3 linked regions of the Callithrix jacchus genome follow. The protein of the gene in region 1 interacts with the protein of each later gene in a biochemical or structural test. Links are inferred from orthologs where the notes say so. Each region holds a gene or a part of one and is shown in the gene's direction. Other genes may lie near its edges.

Evidence for each region.
Region 2: the proteins of LEF1 (region 1) and MITF form a complex in vitro, tested with the Homo sapiens proteins (2 studies listed by BioGRID). The link is inferred for Callithrix jacchus from reciprocal best matches to the Homo sapiens genes LEF1 and MITF.
Region 3: of the proteins of LEF1 (region 1) and NLK, one has a biochemical effect on the other in vitro, tested with the Homo sapiens proteins (4 studies listed by BioGRID). The link is inferred for Callithrix jacchus from reciprocal best matches to the Homo sapiens genes LEF1 and NLK.

What each region holds. Positions count from the first base shown.
Region 1 is NC_133504.1:89,313,085-89,316,735, forward strand, and holds part of LEF1 (lymphoid enhancer-binding factor 1), read left to right. Parts: intron 1-924; coding exon 925-1,008; intron 1,009-3,066; coding exon 3,067-3,189; intron 3,190-3,651. UniProt on the Homo sapiens protein: Transcription factor that binds DNA in a sequence-specific manner. Participates in the Wnt signaling pathway. Activates transcription of target genes in the presence of CTNNB1 and EP300.
Region 2 is NC_133516.1:51,562,189-51,565,939, forward strand, and holds the start of MITF (microphthalmia-associated transcription factor), read left to right. Parts: upstream 1-1,134; 5' UTR 1,135-1,272; coding exon 1,273-1,376; intron 1,377-2,500; exon of another isoform or gene 2,501-2,599; intron 2,600-3,751. UniProt on the Homo sapiens protein: Transcription factor that acts as a master regulator of melanocyte survival and differentiation as well as melanosome biogenesis.
Region 3 is NC_133506.1:105,366,861-105,370,511, reverse strand, and holds part of NLK (serine/threonine-protein kinase NLK), read left to right. Parts: intron 1-2,561; coding exon 2,562-2,771; intron 2,772-3,651. UniProt on the Homo sapiens protein: Serine/threonine-protein kinase that regulates a number of transcription factors with key roles in cell fate determination. Positive effector of the non-canonical Wnt signaling pathway, acting downstream of WNT5A, MAP3K7/TAK1 and HIPK2.

The sequences.
Region 1 (3,651 bases):
TCCATAGGAATAATTCTCAACTCTAGCACTTGTTTCTCTCCTTTTTCCACTTGGCTCTCTATGTCACAGCCCCCATGTCATCGGCCCACATCGCCATACCTGGACATCCTTGCATTATCCTTCTTCAGCCAGGAAGGCTCATCCTGCCATGAACAATCCAGCTTTCTCTCTTTCTTTTTCTCTCCCTAGCATTACATCTCTTAGTCAGTAACTGCTTGAACTTAATTGATTATGCATACACTTTCAAACCTAGATCAATTATTCTGTCTGAACTTAGCGACTTAGGGGCAATAGTCCTGTGCTGAATTGTACCACTGGCAGCTAGAAATAAAGTCTGTGTAAGTGAAAAATGAGAGATGTAGAAAGAACAGAGGGAAAGATGGACTTAGGATGGAGGGAAAATAATTCCAGTGAATTAGTCTTTTATTTCTTGACTTTAACATATATATTGGGGGAAAGGTATGGTGTTTTTTAAATGTTTATTTTTATATAAATATAAAGTTTTATTTTCTTCTTTCTTCCCTTGCCTGAAATTCTCAAAAACTCTGATAAGTCACTCAGCTCCTTCTCTGAAGGGAATATTTCAATATTCTCAGGGTTCTGTTATATTCAATAAACATTCAAGTGCCTACTTTGTTCAAAGCATTAATGGGGTTGGGAGAGGGGACGGAATAAAAGAGACATAATTTGTGAACAGTTTGTTTCCAAGTTGAGGGTGGGAGATTTCCTTCAAGGCAAATTATGCTTTGATTGGGTGGAGGGTGAGGAAGGGGAACGGTTACATATCTGAAACCATGTGGAGGTCTGTAATACTTCCACAAGATTCTGTTTGAATATCTCCCTCTTCTCCCCTCATCCAACTCTTACTGCTGGTTGGTAACTCGTGTTTTGTCATTGATGGGTTCCTTTCTTCTGTGACCTCAGGCAAGGTCAGCCTGTATATCCCATCACGGGTGGATTCAGGCAACCCTACCCATCCTCACTGTCAGTCGACACTTCCATGTCCAGGTAGGTGGAGGTGGAAACTGGGGCGCTCAAGGACAAGTTGCTCTTCTCGTGCTTGCATCCTGTGCGCCTCTGCTTGCCTTTTGGTCAGCTAGGAGGGTGCATACCTCAGCCATGTGTCTGTCTGTGCAGTGTGCCTGGCTCCCACACTAGGTGTCAGAGAGAGTCCCGGGTAGGAGCCCTGCACTGTGCCGCAGCCGCACCAGCCACACCATCGGGGGATGGACACAGCCTCCCTGGAAAGCATTGCCTCCAAACCAATCCATGACCGCCTGACTGTGGGATGGAACTGTCCGGAAAGCGGACATTACAAGAAGAGTTTGTTTGATTCAAAATATGCCGGAGGAGGATAAAAACTGGTTTGATCTCAGTTCTATAATATGCTTCATTTGTGGAAAGTTGTATCAGTTTGATGCGGCAGTGTTTGAAAATGCCCAGAGCCTAGAGCCTTCCTGGACGGAGGCTGTCAGAAGAGACAGAACGGTGGGGACAGGCTGGCAGGCCGTACAGGGTGTGTGTCCTAGTGTGTGAATCAGGCCTGTGTGGACATGGTTGTGCCAGCGGAGCTCGGGAGGCCTGCTGCGCTTCCCCGAGAAGCTGCTGTGTGTGATGCTTTTGCTTCTGGAGAGGATGGCTCTGTGCCCTGTGCTTGATGTACACACACATTTGGTATGCATTATCTGTGTGTTCGATGTGGCTTTGTCAAGGGAGCTAGCATTATTGTGCCGGAAGTCAAACTGGTAGGTTATTAACTGGTTGTGAATCTGTCTTTTTTATATGGGTATAAATTTCATATTTTCTGGGGTGAATTACAGCTTAAAAAATTTTTTTTCAGTGACTTGTAAATGTAGCCGATTGTGGGAGGAGATGGAATTACTATCTTTCCCCTTAAAACATATTTTTATACTTTTTAACATTGTAAGAACTATCTGATGATAGGATTCTGACAGGCAAATAACTAGCATCATATATTTTTGCAAGTAATACAGCTAACAAAGCATCGTTATTTGGTCAAATATTTGTATTTTTACCGTGCTTCCTTAATATTTTAAGACTTGTTCTTGAAAAATATATGTCCCAGCAGAGTTTCTTTCCAGATGAGGAAATTAATTGTGTAGGCTGTGATGAAAGACCTGAGAATGTTGTCTTGCTGAGTTAAATGTTTACTTTAAAACAGTTTGAAAAGCAAAGATTTCTAAAACGTATCCAAATTTATCTAGAGAGCATATTGAAAGGAATGTCTCTATTTATTTTATTTTTCTTGCATGGCAGTTTCCCTCCTTTGTGTTGGCTGGTGGTGGATATTTGGAGACTTTTTGATACTGTACAAGCATACTTGGGAAAAAGCCTTTGGCGGGTGTAGTTTTTAACCTTGATGCAGAACTGTATCCTTCCTTTTAATTAAATTCTTCTCCTTATTTCTGTTACCAGTTTTCCATAAGATGTCATCTCTGAAACATTAGTTTATATCTGCACAGAAAATCATTTTGGATGATGTTAATGGAAACCTTATTAAATGGGAGACTGATTCCTATCCCTTTTCTCAGTTGTTCCTTCCTCGTATGGATGAGGAAGCCAACAAGATGAGAACATTTTCATTGTGATGGTTTGCTTAGGAATATAGGCAGAGATTTTAACATGTGGTGTCTTTTGCTTTCATTTAAAAATCACTTTAAAAGCTAAGTCTTAAAGTGCTATATTTCCAATAATGACTTTTAATGAAATTCTTATTTTGAAATTGCTTTGCAAGAAAAATGATTCACTTTTTTTTTTAATGATTCACTTTTTTTTCCAAATCTTATGGCCTACAGCCTTCCTAGAAAAATGTCATATTCTACTATTAGTTTGAAAAAACTACAGGGAATAATTGTAAATATTTCCACCTGAATACAGAAGGAAAAAAAAATTATCGGCCCACTCTAATTTATAGTTAATGCTTCTGTGCATAAAGATGCGTTTTTACTCTTAGCCAGTAGCCGTTAGTGGATTGCTTTGAAATTCTATCTGGCTTTTGCTACAACAGCCAGTAGTACATTGTTTTCTTCTCTTTCCTTCTTTTAGGTTTTCCCATCATATGATTCCCGGTCCTCCTGGTCCCCACACAACTGGCATCCCTCATCCAGCTATTGTAACACCTCAGGTCAAACAAGAACATCCCCACACGGACAGTGACCTAATGCACGTGTAAGTATCCACTCGGGCTCTGCTGTGGTTGCCTTACGCTACGCAGGATTTCTACACTGTTGCTCCTTTGCAGCAGTGATCCTTCACTTCTTTCTGTTACTGTAAAACTCAGTGGACCTCTGCCTTGAAAGCTGTGTCCCTGAGGACATTAAGCAGCTTGATTCCTACTGTGCTGATTTTGATTCTGAAGTTGGAAAGGAGCACGGACCTCAAAAGATCATGGGAACCCCACCAAAATGGAGAAATCTTCAGAACGTGGGCACTCAAGACTCTGGAGCTGTTTAGCCATTTATCACTGAATTTTCATTTGGTTCAGATTTTTGGCAAGAACCTATTCCTACCTGAGTGAAGTAGACTGGAGGGTCTAATGCACCTTCTTCTGGAAGTACAGTTACCCTGGCTCCAAGCTTCAACAGCACAGAATTCGAGGGAAAGAAATAAAGCCCAAGATTCCCTGTTGGG
Region 2 (3,751 bases), on another chromosome or scaffold:
ACATCTTCTAAAACTGGTTTGCCAATCTCTTCTTTTATGGATGAAGAAATGGAGGCTTCTAGGAACCAAGTGACATGCTAAGGATTGCACAGCTCTTCTTAGAAGCACCAGCAATTTGAACTCTGAGTCTTATACCTTTAAATGCCACCGTAACTCTATACTGCCTTCCTGATGCCTCAAAACACTTTTAAAAAGAAGAAACACAATCTATTTACTGGAACTAATCAGAGGGAAGGACTAGAAGTACAAATGAGCCACAAAGGAGAGTTTATAAAATTCTCTTCCCTAAGTGAGTGCCAGGAAGCTCGATAAGGGGTTGACACTTTTACAGTTCACTTGCACATCTTCACTCCTGAAATATTAGGACAATCTCATTTGAACTCCTAGTCAACTGGGAAATTAAAAGCAGAGAGCGACAACACTGTTCTGTAAGTTTGTGCCTTTTAAAATTAACCGATCTTTCAATTGCTGCTTTAGATTAGAAGTGGCTACTTGGATAAAGGGGAGGAAAGGGTCATTTAACTGATGAACCGTATTGTAGAAGTCCAGACTTAGTTCTAGAAAAGGAACGCACAAGAACAATTTCTCCAATAACGTTTTCATTACAAAGCGAAGGAAAGTTCTTCCTCGTTGTTCCAATCCGAGGACAAGTTGATACGTCGCAGCAGCCCAGGGAAGCATGCGGGCTGATAGGAAGTCTTTTTATTTTAAGACAGGCTCGAATACTAAAACTTTCTAGTGCCAAAACCCTTCACTATCTTATTTTTTAAATAAGCATACGGCGTGCCCTCGCAGATGTCTGAGCTGAGAGGTGGGGGTGACGGTAGGAGAGCAGGCTGTGTCCGTTCTTATTCATATTAAATAGCCAAGTCTGTACCCTTGAAGCAAGTGGGGAGAGAGGAGGGAGAGGAGCTGCTGACATTGAAAATGAATCCAAACAGGAGTTGCTCTAGCGGTGTCCACCACGTTGCTTCTCCCCCGTCTGGCCTTCTGGGAGTTGTAGTTTTTGTGGGAGTGACTCCCCAGGCCAGCCGGGAATACCCCGCCCGGATCGAACTACAGATCCCAGGCGGCGCTCGGCCGTCGGCCCCTCCCTCCCGGGTGCCAGTGTAAACTCCCCGCTCGTTGGCGGGCGGCCGCGAGCCGGCGAGCGGGCAGAGCTCTGCACTGCGCGGGGGCGCACGACTCGGGGGACCCAGGCCCAGCTACCTTGCCTCCGCCCCCGGGCTCTGTTCTCACTTTTGAGCTGTGGAAGGACGGGAAGCGGGAGCCATGCAGTCGGAATCGGGGATAGTGCCGGATTTCGAAGTAGGAGAGGAGTTTCATGAAGAGCCCAAAACCTATTACGAACTCAAAAGTCAACCTCTGAAGAGCAGGTGAGTGGTGACAGCTGGGCAGAGGCGCGACGGGCGGCTGGGGGGCGCTGCGTCTGCCACTCCGGGGCGAGGAGAGCGGATCGTGGGAGCTCTGGGACAAGGACCCAGTGCCCTTGCCCCGGGGCGGAGGGCGAACTGCCCCTCGCAGTTGGGGGCCGCGCTCGCCCGGCCCAAGTGCGCTTCTAGGAGGCTCGGTTGGAGCGCACTTCGGGGGGCGCTGCGGTAGCCGGGGGCGGAGCGTCCCGGCTCGGGGACCCTCGGCAGGGGATGCCAGCTGCTGAGACTGAGTGGGGGCTGGGGAGCGACCTGGCGCGCTGTGGGGGAGGAGGAGCGCCTGGCCGGGACGCTGCTGTCCCGACGAGACGGGAGAGAAAGAGTTCTAGTGAACCCCCTTTGTGAAGATCCCAGCGGGTTGAGGGCGTGGACAGGGAGAGCTTTGGATGGATTGAGATGCAATATTGGAGGGAAGCAGTTAGTTTGATTGTAGTCACCTCTTGGGAGTCCAGTCCCTGTGGGGAAATCGGCCCTTGGCCGCTTGCAGGTGAGGGTTCTCTGGGCTCCGCCTCTCACCTCCAGACCGCTCCACGCGGGCGCGGGAGGGGCGAGTGCAGCGGTGGGTGTGTCCCCTAGTCCAGGTTAAACTCCCTGTAAATAGAGTCGCATTCAAAACCAGGCCTTCCCTGAAGAGGGGAAATGAGCCTTGGTCTTGGGGGATACTGGGACTGTACCTTGCTTGACAGAGACACGTGTTTAATTCGCTGGGGTCTTCAAAAACTTTTTAGGAGAGGAGTAAAGACATCCACTGCTCCGACGCCCCATCTCTTCTACTGCCCACTTCCTTTGCGCCAGCTTTTTTGCTGCCTCCATTGTCACTTGTCTGTCAAAATGTATTGGGTATCTTCCGTTCTCTCTGTCCGGCGGCCACTCTGGACTCGTCGCACTTCTCATTTACAGTGTTTACTAAAAGGGACATGGTCAGTGGAGGTTGGAATAGCAGAGAAGGGTTTATTTCCATCCTGCTAAGCTGTGAGCTAGGATAAGGCTATCATTGGAAGCATCCAGCAGGACTTCTGCACCCGGCTGTACCTTCCTGCCCTGCCCTTCGCTGTGGGTGGGGCCTGGGTGAATGGGCCTGGCTGGCAGAGTGGGAGAAGGTCCTGAAATGAGGGTGAGTGAAGAAGGGCAACCGAATGAAGAGCCAGGTGGTGTAATCTTGGCCTCTGGTGAGCACTGGGCTGGTTCCTTTTCTAGCGGAAAGTGCAACCAGGTTTATTTCCTTCAGGGCTGTGGCAGGACTCTTCATCCCACTTGGGAAAGAAAATCTGGGAACAGCGGACCCACTGACTGCCACTGCTGAAGAAGCCTCTTTGTAGATGCTTCACGGCAGATTGGAAGGAGACCGCCTAAGCAGTTTGACCTATAAAACCAGCCTTTAGTTGGTGGTTTTTCCTCATAATGGCCGTTTTGTGTGTGAGCATAGATTGTGTGTGTTGGGGGCTGGGGGTTTTGGGTAATATTGTGTGAAGGGTATTGTTGGTTATGCTCATCAGGGCTTTATCTGCATTCGGCTGAAGGGACCAGTGTTTTACTGGGCAGTCTCTGCTTCTGCTTCTATAAGCAAATGCTTACATGGCCAGAATGAGGGAATGAGTGTGTGTGTGTGGAATCCTGAAAGAAATGAATTAACTGGACTGTTTGGAACATTTCTGATGGTGGCTGATACATAACATTAAATCAGTTTGAGAGAGCGAGGAAAATACCATCTGGAAAAACCCAAATGAGTGCCGTGAAACTCATGTTGAACGATTTGGGCCTGTTCTTTTTCAGAGTCAGCAAAAAATGACTTGCAAGGGTGAACATCCTCAGTAGTTGGCTAGCAGGCACGTGTCAGGAAAATTGTGGGTATGTGGGAAGAAATGGCTTCACACGTTAATGCTAGAAACAGGTGTAGGCCTGAACCAGCAGGGAAAGGAAGGCTAAATTAAAAAAAGTTGTTGTAAAACTTGTATATGGAGCACACACATGCTCTTTGAAATAAACCAGTTAAATAAACTCTGTGAATAAATATATGGAGTTGGCGACATTTCTCTGTACTGTTTCCCACAGTTGTCTAAGGTATTGTCCTCGACATCTGTTGTGTGACTTAAAAGGGCTACACATTGTTCTGGGCCTCTCTCATTGCTTTTTGTCTTATGTCTTTGCTGGGGCACCTCATTTCTTATAAGTCTTTATTGGAAAAAGTTGAAATTGATATGTTAAGACTGCTGTAGCCATTCTGCCTATCAACTGTCTTCTCTGGATTGTCCCTTAGAGTTGAAAATATGTCCAGAATCTGCCTGCTTCTTACCAACTCCTCTGCTACCACTTTGGTCCAA
Region 3 (3,651 bases), on another chromosome or scaffold:
TTGGTTTGGTTTGGTTTTTAAAAATATCCTAAAGAGTCATGGCCAAGTAATAGAGTTTTTTAAATATTATATGTTATTTTGGCCAGGTACGGAAATTACACACCTGTAATTTCAGCACGGGGAGGCTGAGGTGGGCAGATCACTCAAGGCCAGGAATTCAAGACCAGCTGGCCAACATGGCAAAGCCCTGTCTCTACTAAAAATACAAAAATTAGCCAGGTGTGGTGGTGCGTGCATATAGTCCCAGCTACTCAGGAGGCTGAGGCTTGAGAATGGCTTGAACCTAGAAGACAGAAGTTGCAGTGAGCCGAGATCACGTCACTGTACTCCAGTCTGGGTGACAGAGCGAGACTGTCTCAAAAAAAAAAAATTATGTTATTTGAACAGGATTTGATGAACTTGGGCTTTTGTTGTCATTTTGTTACATGGTTTTCTATATGGCTTGGAAAATTTTCCTTTGTTCTTACGTTGTAAAGGTGGTGGCTTCATACTGGTTCGGTCCTACATGCACTTTTGAATTCACTTGATAAAACCAGATTCAAATCAGAAAGAGAGGATTGCCAAAAATTTGGGGGTAAATTTTGTTTTCTTTAGAATGGTAGTTTTCAGACCTTTTTTTTTAAGCTGCCAGAACTCTTTTTCAAATAAATTCTTATTTTGGGACTTCAATTTAGAAAACTGATTTAAAATCTTATTTTATCACTTGAAATATTGTGACTTGTAAAGTTCATCACCAAGAACACTGGAGCTTAGATGGCCATTACTATCTGATCTCATCCTCATTGATCCTAGTTTTTGTGTTTTAATTACCCAATATCAAGAAAATTTTAATTCCTAAAGATAAGCAGTAGTTGCTAGTGCTGGCACTGCTGCTGCTTATTAGCAGCTCACTTTGTAACCTCAGCATACTTTTCCGTTAAGCAGAAATGACAAGAAAAAATTTATTTCTAAGCTTGTATATAAGTTAACCAGTCTTTATTATTTGCTATATCTCCAGATTCTAACGTACCATCTGTGATATAACAAGTACTCACTTATATATTTATGGCATGAAGAAATGAATGAACCAGGAGCATTAGTATTCTATAGTGTACTACATTTTAACATATTTACGCATTTGAGTGTGAATTTGTATTTTAAATAGGTACATGTGAAGTTTGGATATAATATTTATGGAATGCCTAAAGTCAGAACTAGATTCAGCTGGACTCAGTTTGAAACCCATTGTTTTAAAGAAATATATATATATATATTTCATAAAGATGACAAACATAATCTCAGCTAAGGAGAGCTTCAAGATAAACCGCTTTATCTTATATCTTCCTCTATAAGCTGGTCTTGAAAATAGTTGGTTTTGTGGGCTTTTAAAAATTTTTTTAAAGACAGGGTCTCAATTTCCCTCTGTCTCCCAGGCTGGAGTACAGTGGCACAATAATAAATAGCCCACTGTAGCCTAAAACTCCTGGGCTCAACCAGTCCTCCCACCCCAGCCTCCAGAGTACCCAGGACTGCAAGTGCACACCACCATGCCCAGCTACTTTTTAAAAATTATTTGTAGAGTTTAGATCTTGCATTGTCCAGGCTGATCTTGAATTCCTGATGTCAAGCAGTCCTCTCACCTCAGCCTCCCAGTTTCTGGGATTACAGGCATGAGCCACTGTGCCTGGCCAACAGTTGGTTTCTAAATCAAACATAGAAGTATGCATTTGGCCAGGTGCGGTAGTTCATGCCTATAATCCCAGCACTTTGGAAGGCTGAGGCAGGCAGACTGCTTGAACCCAGTAGTTCAAGACCAGCCTGGGCAACATGGCATCTCTACAACAAACAAACAAACAACAACAAAAGAAAAAAAAAAAAACACAAAAAATTAGCTGGGCATAGGTAGTAGAAGCCTGTAGTCCCAACTGCTCAATAGGCTGAGGTGGGAGGATCACTTGAGCTCAGATCCATCATGCCACTGCACTTGAGCCAGGGAAACAAATAAAAAAACAAATAAAGTCGTTTACATTCGTCACAAAACAGACATGTTTTTATTGATAAAGATGAAAAGAGTATTTTTAAGAAAATGATTAAGTTTGAGACTTTTTCCCCCTCTTAACCAAGTAAACTAGATTGTATATTGACATAAATATACTATACCTGTATCATTAAAATGTTTCAAAGTGGCCAGGTGTGATAACTCACACTTGTAGTGTCAGCACTTTGGGAAGCTGATGGGAGACCAACGCAGGTGGATCGCCTGAGATCAGCCTGGCCAATACGGTGAAACCCGTCTCTACTAAATATACAAAAAAAAAAAAAAATAGCCAGGTATGGTGGCGGGAGCCTGCAGCCCAGCTATTCGGGAGGCTGAGGCAGGAGAATCTCTTGAACCCGGGAGGCAGAGGTTGTAGTGAGCCAAGATTGTACCACTGCACTCCAGCCAGCCTGGGCTACAGAGCAAGAGTCCCTCTCAAAAAAAAGGTGTTTCAAAGTTCAGTGCCCCATGAAGGTTTTGATGTTTTGTTTTACCCTTTCATTTGTATTTGCTTGACAATGTTTTGATTGCCTTTTCTATTTAGATTTGTGATTTTGGATTGGCCAGAGTGGAAGAATTAGATGAATCCCGTCATATGACTCAGGAAGTTGTTACTCAGTATTATCGGGCTCCGGAAATCCTGATGGGCAGCCGTCATTACAGCAATGCTATTGACATCTGGTCTGTCGGATGTATCTTTGCAGAACTACTAGGACGAAGAATATTGTTTCAGGCACAGAGTCCCATTCAGCAGGTATGATTTCAATTTAAGGCTTTAGTTTCAATTCTGTTACAGATTTGAAAGAAAAATCTATCTTGTACATTATACTGTCTAATTTGCTTTTAGAAAATTCAGGGGTTCACGTAAAATTCAGAAAGTTACAAAGCTGAAGATTACAAAGAGATTCATTTTGTAACTTCAAGCCTTTAGAGGGAGTGTTAACTTTATTTAGTTATTTATTATTTTATTTACTTTTTTGAGATGGAGTCTCACTCTGTTGCCCAAGCTAGAGTGCAGTGGTGCCATCTCAGCTTACTGCAACCTCCGCCTCCCGGGTTCAAGCAATTCTTCTGCCTCAGCCTCCTGAGTAGCTGGGATTACAGACACATGCCACCATGCCAGGCTGATTTTTTGTATTTTTAGTAGAAACGGAGTTTCACCATGTTAGCCAGGCTGGTCTGGAAATCCTGATCTCAAGTGATCCGCCCATCTCGGTCTCCCAAAGTGCTGGGATTACAGGCGTAAGCCACTGCAGCCTGTTGACTTTATCACATGCACTGATGTATAGCTGCAGGCTCTGTTGTAACAATTTGCATAGGTATAATCTTTAGTTGTTAGAAGGCCTCTCTTCCTTCTAAATGAATGGCTCTGACTTGAAAATGTCTCGATGACTTAATATACTTAAACTTTGTGCTTAGAATATAAATTTTTATTGTGTTGATTTCTTGAAATCTGAACATTTAGGAAAATTTCTGACCTTTATTATTGGACTAAAATATTTAAATATGACAGAGAACATCAGGAAATGATTAAAGTATAGCTTTAAAAAGCCATTCATGTTATTTTGTCTTTAAAGCTAATTCACTAATACACATATTTTCTTGGGATACTTATTAGGTATTTTTTATTTACA